2 linked regions of the Xenopus tropicalis genome follow. The protein of the gene in region 1 purifies or fractionates together with the protein of each later gene. This does not show direct contact. Links are inferred from orthologs where the notes say so. Each region holds a gene or a part of one and is shown on either strand. Other genes may lie near its edges. The genes, in order: atl3 and esyt1.

Region 1 (4,611 bases):
TCTGGGAGAGGCATCTCTGGTCAATTCTTCAGCATGCTCTAACAGAATCATTATGGACTTCTACTTATTATTAAGCTAATGCCTTGTTGTTCACCTTCCCTTTAAGTGCCCTGGTGCCTTTCTACAATGCACTGTTGTGCAATGCTATGTAATCATACAGTCTGATTAGACAGATGTGAGGTATGTGATTTTGTCTTTTGTCACCTTTTGTCTTTTGTCACAATATCTTGCTGAATATTTGTGTAATACTATAAATGTTGTAATCTGATGGTCAGTGCTGTAGTCAGACGGGAAGTGCACAATTTTGGGGTGAAAGGATAGCAGATTGAATAAATGCTTTCTTCTTGTATACTTGAGCAATTCATACAAGGTTGCCACCACCCAGGGCCATATATTCTTTATAGACACCAGGCACATATTTGTGGAAAGGCCACAAAGGCCTGGGCCTAGGGCATCAGGAGGACTGTGAGGACAGCATGCCACCGTGCCTCATCTACATTTGGGATTGGGCAGACAGAAGATCTAAACAGCTATTTGACTCTCCGCCCTTCCAGTCCCCACTACCGCAATTCTATTGTTAGTGATGAGCTTTGCTACAGCCTAGGGGTGTACATACTTCAAATTTGGCTCTGATACACAGCTGATGGCCATATAATTTTGTTCTTATTCTGACCTGCGCACATCCTCTGGTACCTATATAAAGACACTAACCAGTAAAGTTGAGCTAAAGGGATACCCCACTTAGATATGATTGGCACATGAGCGCTGACACCAGTCAGGTGTGAGGAGGCAGCTTTAATACCCGTGTCTATGTCACCTGTGTTTGTTTGCTATTGGAAACTTGTTACCCCATGTGAGCAGGTGGCCCTCCAGCTGTCACAGAACTAGAGCTGTCTCTCTCCAAGACTGAAGGTAGTTGTTTTTCTGTGGCAGCCACAATGCCACTTCCTGATATGTCAAATTAAATAATGACAAGAAAGTGTGTTCCTTGAGTCACTGCTGTATTGAACACTGCCATGGGAGACTGTAGTAGAATACCTGCAAATAAGGGCTCTCACACATGGGTTGCCAATCGCAGACGGAACGCAGTTTATGTATCATCTGTGTTCAGTGCTGTGCTTACTGTCATTCACCCTTGTGAATGCATTCTATTGTGTTTCTGCAGCGAAATGTCTGTGCGTTCACAGACTGACACTAGAACTGTCAGTGCACCAAGAAAAAGGATTGGATGGGAATGTATCAGCTTTTCTTGCCTGTGAGAATATACTGTTGGAGAAAAGCTGATTGTCAGTACTATGTGCCTAAAGCCAAAGACATTGCTGAGAATGAGAAGCTCTAACAAATGATAGTGTGAGACAATAGAACACTTGAGTTTGGAGCAAAACTGCAGCTGCACTACCCTCATTTACAGTGACCCACTTTGACTGGGCTAGTAGCACAAAGACAAGGGGCGGGACTTGGGCTGCTATTGCAGAATTTGTACCAGTCACTCACAATTATGACTACTTCCTGTGGAAGACTGAACGTGAAGACACGCCCAGCCCTGATTTCAGGCCAGGCACGGAACAGTGAGGGTCTCTCTGCAGCTTTGATACAATTACATTTATAAGAGGTAAAATGCAATTTCAACCATTTATTTCTGGGGAACTGTATGCTGACATTAATAGGTTATGAGAATTACATAATATGTCGTCTGTTCTGACTCTCTGTCACTGTATAATGAAAAAGCCATGCTCATACTTTGCAATATTTTAACTTTCTTTTTGCTTGCTGGTGACAGCAATTCATGAGCATAAAAGCCATTACAGAGGTAACTTCTTACTAATAAGTCGGTGTCCATAAAGATTGTTTGTTTGAGTGCCCAGCATAACTGTAGATAACTTTTTGTGTGTTTACATATAAACTCTAGTGGGTTGCAACAAAGTATGTTGAATCCCAAGAGTGTCTGCCTTTTTTCTTCATTACATGCAGATTGTAAAGGATCTATAATAAGTTATTTATAAGAGTTATTGCTATTGAAAGCGGTACTTTGCTGACTGTTTACATTCTCCACCTTGCTGGCTCCGACTCCTCGCACAATGTGCCAGAAGCCAGTAAGGAACAGAGCTGGAAGTGAACTGATTTTCTGTGTTGTTTTAGCAGTGCAGAAAGAGAAAGGAATATAGATACCACTTTTAGGTGAAAACACATTTAAAATAAAATTGTAAACAACAGAAACATTTTTATGCATGTATATTACAAAGGTGTTTAGATTTTTTCTTTCTTTGCAAAGAAAATGAATTTTTGGCTTTCTTTTGCTAAAAAAAAAAAGTACTCTGTACTACGCAATTACTTTTTGCTATCACTAGTCATTAAAATACTCTTTTCTAATTACTACAACTACAACTTTCAGCTTTCTTTTACCTTTGACTATATGTTAAAGAACACTGACAGTGAATGGAAGAGGCGAACTTCCTACACATGGCCTGGTCGTGCCCACAAATAGCCAAATTTTGGTCTGAGGTTATGTGTGTCCTAGCAGATAAACTAGAATTCCCCAAAATTCTGACACCCCAAATATGCATACTGGGAATCCTAGATGAATTAATAACTACCAACTATGCTAGAACCAGATATAGGACACTTCTATATTATGCCAGGAAAATCATTGCAATGGCTTGGATGGGACCTGAACCTCCTACGGTTCAAAACTGGATCACCCTGGTAAATCAAGTTCTGCCCCTCATTAAACTTACTCTGTTAGCCAGAGGTTCCAAAAAGAAGTTTGAGAAAATTTGGAGCCCATGGTGGGAGGCGGGCCTAGGTGGACAAGGTACTCTGGCATAAAATACAATACCCTAACTTACACATGCGGATGACTTTAATTCCCTAGCAAACTCCCCAAGCAATAATCACCTAAAAAACCTCTACACTACCTCCAACCCTACTACAATATAAGTGAATGGATTAGCGCCATACAACTGTAATCTATGTCATACCAACCAAACCTATGTTAATTTATTAGTATATCTGTCATAACAAAACTGAAACATGTTTAATATGTTACCGCAATACTGTATCCAACGGTATATAATTTTTTTCCTTTTTTTCCGATTTTATTTTTTTCTTTACTCTTTTCTTGATGTTTTGTTTCATGTATGTTATATTAAAAATAAAAGGATAAACTATAAAAAAAAAGAACACTGACAGTTTTAGTAAAGCAGCATCAGGGTACCCAAGATAAAGGCTGCTGTCACACACACATGACACCTGCCACAAGTGACATGAGAACATCTGGTGTTTCAGCACCAACTGACAGCAAGGCATCTGTCAATGTGCATATGGGGCAGATTTTGGCCTGAAAAGCGAAGTTGGGCATTTTCAGGGCAAAACCCACCCCATGTGAGCATTGACAGGTGGATGCTGTGCCTGAAGGTGCTTGTGGAAAACAAGGTGGATGGCAAACGATTGGCATGTGAGAAACGGGTGTGAGAAAGGAAACAGACTAAAAATTTATTTAAAATCTATATATTTAATATGTCTTAAATTTATATTTTTAATATTTAAATGAGAACTAAATGCAAACTTTAACCTGGGTTCCCGTGCACTGCCTCCCCTTCTCCTCAGTAAAGACAACCTGCAACCCCCAGCACAGAGTTGCCCTGCTCCATCATACAGATATGCTGAAAATGCAGTGCTGCATGGTGGGCTGCTTGACTTCTGGTCCTCTGCTTTGTGGCAACATTAGAATATGTACATGTTCCTGGTTGGTGATTGTGGGCAAAAAGTAGAGGATTGTTGGATTGCTGGGAAACACTGCATTGTCAGCACTGGTATGTTAGAGCAGGGCTTGTAGGTTAGTTCTTCTTTAAGACAGAGTACTACATTTGAAAAATGTAATGATGTTTCTCTGTATATTCCTGTGTACACAATAGCATTATTTTGTTCTTACTGAGTTGTTTGAATATAAAATACATACACAGCATTTCTTCCTTTCTTTTTGGCTCTTTCTGTTTTCTGCATGCAGACATGGCTTCTTCTGCACCTGGTCCGGTCCAGGTAGTGTTAGTACAAAAGGATGACCATTCCTTCCAGCTGGATGAAGAAGCTCTGGCATCTGTACTACTTCAGGATCATATTCGTGATCTGGATGTTGTCGTTGTGTCAGTAGCAGGTGCTTTCCGCAAAGGGAAATCATTCTTGTTGGACTTCATGCTGAGATATGTCTACAGCCAGGTAACATCCTAGGGTACTGAATTGGCTCAGGAATCTGCACTAGTTACTTTCAGATGATTTAGATCACTAATTTCTATTATGACTATGTGTCTCTAAACCAGTGATCCCCAACCAGTGGTTCAAGAGCAACAAGTTGCTCACCAACCCCTTGAACGTTGGCCCCAGTGCCCCCAAACCAGGTAGTTATTTTTGAATTCCTCACTTGGTGGCAAGTTTTGGTTGAATAAAAACAAGATTTACTACCAAATAAAGCCTCCTGTAAGCTGATAGTGTGCATAGAGGCTACCTAATAGCCAAAAAACAGTGTCTCCTGACGAAGGTCCCTCTGGGGGACTGAAATGTTGAGGTTTGAAATGTTCCTTTTTTCTATGTTTCAATAAATATTGACTTTTTTTT
Region 2 (3,821 bases), on another chromosome or scaffold:
CAAAGCAAAATGTTTCCACCCCCATGCTTGACGGTGGGGACGGTGTTTTGGGGGTCATAGGCAGCATTTTTCTTCCTCCAAACACAGCGAGTTGAGTTAATGCCAAAGAGCTCTATTTTGGTCTCATCAGACCACAGCCCCTTCTCCCAGTCACTCACAGAATCATTCAGGTGTTCATTGGCAAACTTCAGACGGGCCTGCACATGTGCCTTCTTGAGCAGGGGGACCTTGCGAGCCCTGCAGGATTTTAATCCATTGCGGTGTAATGTGTTTCCAATGGTTTTCTTGGTGACTGTGGTCCCTGCTAATTTGAGGTCATTAACTAACTCCTCCCGTGTAGTTCTAGGATGCTTTTTCACCTTTCTCAGAATCATTGACACCCACGAGGTGAGATCTTGCGTGGAGCCCCAGAGCGAGGTCGATTGATGGTCATTTTGTGCTCCTTCCATTTTCGAACAATCGCACCAACAGTTGTCACCTTCTCTCCCAGCTTCTTGCTAATGGTTTTGTAGCCCATTCCAGCCTTGTGCAGGTCTACAATTTTGTCTCTGACATCCTTGGACAGCTCTTTGGTCTTTCCCATGTTGGAGAGTTTGGAGTCTGCTTGATTGATTGATTCTGTGGACAGGTGTCTTTTATACAGGTGACTAGTTAAGACAGGTGTCCTTAATGAGGTTGACTAATTGAGTAGAAGTGTCTAACCACTCTGTGGGAGCCAGAACTCTTAATGGTTGGTAGGGGTTCAAAAACTTATTTCACTCAATGAAATGCAAATCAGTTGCTATCTTTTATTTAAAGTTATTTTTTCGATTTTCCTTTTGATGTGCTATCTGCCACTGTTAAAATAAACCTACCATTGAAATGATACTGTTCTGAGACTTTTCATTTCTTTGTCATTGGACAAACTTACAAAATCAGTGAGGGGTCAAATAATTATTTCCTCCACTGTATAGAAGGAATGTGCTTAAAAAAGTTGTATTTCAGACTGATTCATTGAGAAATTCCCCCAAACCCCACTAGCCCCGCCCATCTGTGTCACTTCCTGCTAGCTGAATTCTCTGGATGAGCTGGGGAACCGGCAGCCCTCCGTACCCTGCACTGTAGGATAGGAACCAATCAGCAGCTTGGCTAGCCTGATAGGGAACTGAAGCTTGGCTTTGCTTGTGTGAGTGCAGGGCTGTGATTGGCTCTCCCCCCTACTGTGCTTCTGGCAGGGACCGTTAGGACACGCCCACTCTCCATTTCGAACTCGGACAGAGAAGTGATAGGATATATAGGGAGCCATTGTTACAGATTGGATTAATTTTTAGCACAAAGTGAAACCAGCACCTTATATTATTCATAATTGCCTACAAAATTAGGGGTTTCCCATTTATCCAATATGTCTCCTTTAAAGTTGTAAACCAAAAAATCAAATTATTGTAAATTTGCTAAACGATCGTTTCACCATAATTTTGTATTTTTTTTTAGCTGTTAAAGAGCCAGTATACATCCCTTTTCAACTTTTCAATGAAAAGTGCTTGGTCACAACCAAGGGTGATGGGGGGTTGTATACTGGAAATCTAATAATCTACTTCACAAGGACCAAGCATGTAGTAACTTCAGTCTCTTTGTTTGCCTTGTTTAGGGCAAGGGATAATAAAAAAAAAAATACTTTTTGTTCAGCTCAAATCACTAAAGTGCTCAAAAGAGAACTCTGAGCAAGTTTATAGTCATTTCATTTATATTTGTGTACATCTGTAGGGTTGAGGTAGGGCTGCCTGTAATATGCTTGTGCAGATATATACATGGGTTTTCCCCTGTGAAAGCACAAGGAAAATTGTAGACAGGTTGCAATGCCTGTGTAGTTTAATTGAGATTTATGCACTTTATTTTAAATCTTCTCTCAGATTGTGGCGCAGATGTGGCCTTTTATAGGACAGTATTTGGAGAAGTTGCTCACAGATAGTATAGCACCCACAATCCGGGCCAGCAATACACATCTATCAACATTCTACTTCACGAAGATCAATGTTGGTGAGAAGGTAAGAAATGTTATGTTAATGCTTTGGATTAGTACAGTAGCCTGCATCATATGGTTAGATGATGGATGGCAAGGGAAACAAGAACTCTTTTTTAAAATATAACAGTACAAAAGACCCCAAACACTGGTTATTGGCTGCATCACTTGGCCTTTTTCCCTATGCTTAATAGTTGTAGTATGTGTTTTACCAACACTGGACACATTTGTACTAGTGAGTAGTTACCCTTGTAAGACTAATAGATCTTCAAGTAGAACAGAGGTAACAGTGTTTCAAGGGTCACTATACCCTATACCTTCAGAAAGCTGCCTAGTTCAGGTACCGGTAAATACCTATACTGCTGATTTTCTGCAATCTGTACATACAATCTGTAGGAGGCATTAAATCCAGGGCTGCATTTGTGGCAAGGCCTAGCACAGCAGGACTTTAGGGGTGGCATGCCACCCAGCTGCATCTAAATTGTGTCCGGAGCACTGGGGAAGTGCAGGAGTCCTGCTCACTGAGCCCCACTGCTCCAGACCTGACAACTGAATTTTGGGCATGAAGGTGGGGGGTGGCGGGCTTGACGTGCCAAGACATGGACCTGAGGTGCTCAATATGTAAACCCGGGCCTGATTAAATCTGTATGTGTGTAAGATCTATTCTAGAATTAGTGCCATTGACAGTAAGAGATGTCAAGCTTTTAACTCTTCAGTTATATTGAACTCATAACACCTCATTTACTCTCTAGGCTCCAAAGGTAACCGGAGTGAAAGCTCATACAGAATTTGACAAGAAGCAGATAATCTTGGATTTGCACCTCAGGTATATGTTACAATATAGCCTGCATGTGTGCTTCACTCTCCTGTTATCTAATTCTGGCATTCTTCTGTAATTTTTTTGTTTTGCCTGCTGCAATGCATTCATTTTTTTTTCTGTAGTTATGTTGGTGACATAGAAGTTAATGTAGAAGTAAAGAAATATTTCTGCAAAGCTGGAATTAAGGGGATGCAGGTATGTGAGCCACAGATGTAATGTGCAAAGCCCATTTCAGTGCACTAATAATCATTTTCTGTTTATTACTGTTTATTTCTTTTCCTTCCTTATAAATTATAAACAAAATTTCCTTTCTAACAGCTGCATGGGATGCTCCGTGTTATCCTGGAACCACTAATTGGAGATGTTCCTATTGTTGGAGCCATGACATTATTCTTCATCCGTCGTCCGGTAGGTGATTAATAAATGGTGCCTTAGTTGCCGGCAAATGTAAATATATTCTTTACAAATAAAATGTAGGGCTTGCATTCCCATGGTGCCTTTCTTCATATTATAATAGTAGTAGATATTGTTTGTCATACACTTACTCAGACATATGCAGAAAAAGCTTGGTTTCAGTTTTGGGGCAGGTTTGTACCATAAACACCCATCAAACCACAAACATTTGTCCTGCTAAAGGGATCTCCACCCAAAACGGTTTGTTATTTGTAAATCTAATTGTGGTCGAAAGCAGTATTTGTGTATTCTTTTCTGTGTTCTGCTTCTAAGAGCAATGACACACTAGTCGATTAGTCTCCCCTCAATGAATCTCCTCTACCGCAGGCGACTAATCTGCAAATGCTGCTTTGGCTTTGCAAATTAGCACAGAGTTGCCTCTCAAGGAAACTTTGGCCTATTTCGGAAAGTAGCCGCACCGCGTATGTTTCACTTTGTTCTTTTACCTAACACCCTATGTACCCTTAATGCCCTTAATGTTAAAATAGTGCAGCAGAAGTCATTTCTTCTACAGGTCTGTTAAACAGCTGACTTCTGCTACAAGTCAAA

Evidence for each region.
Region 2: the proteins of atl3 (region 1) and esyt1 purify together in Homo sapiens (affinity purification with mass spectrometry; 3 studies listed by BioGRID and IntAct, with this or other methods). This does not show direct contact. The link is inferred for Xenopus tropicalis from reciprocal best matches to the Homo sapiens genes ATL3 and ESYT1.

The regions. Positions count from the first base shown.
Region 1 is NC_030680.2:36,371,637-36,376,247, forward strand, and holds the start of atl3 (atlastin-3), read left to right. Parts: upstream 1-1,600; 5' UTR 1,601-1,612; intron 1,613-4,006; coding exon of another isoform or gene 4,007-4,008; coding exon 4,009-4,215; intron 4,216-4,611. UniProt on the Homo sapiens protein: Atlastin-3 (ATL3) is a membrane-anchored GTPase that mediates the GTP-dependent fusion of endoplasmic reticulum (ER) membranes, maintaining the continuous ER network. It facilitates the formation of three-way junctions where ER tubules intersect.
Region 2 is NC_030678.2:137,577,804-137,581,624, reverse strand, and holds part of esyt1 (extended synaptotagmin-1), read left to right. Parts: intron 1-1,889; coding exon 1,890-2,024; intron 2,025-2,751; coding exon 2,752-2,825; intron 2,826-2,941; coding exon 2,942-3,014; intron 3,015-3,137; coding exon 3,138-3,227; intron 3,228-3,821. UniProt on the Homo sapiens protein: Binds calcium (via the C2 domains) and translocates to sites of contact between the endoplasmic reticulum and the cell membrane in response to increased cytosolic calcium levels.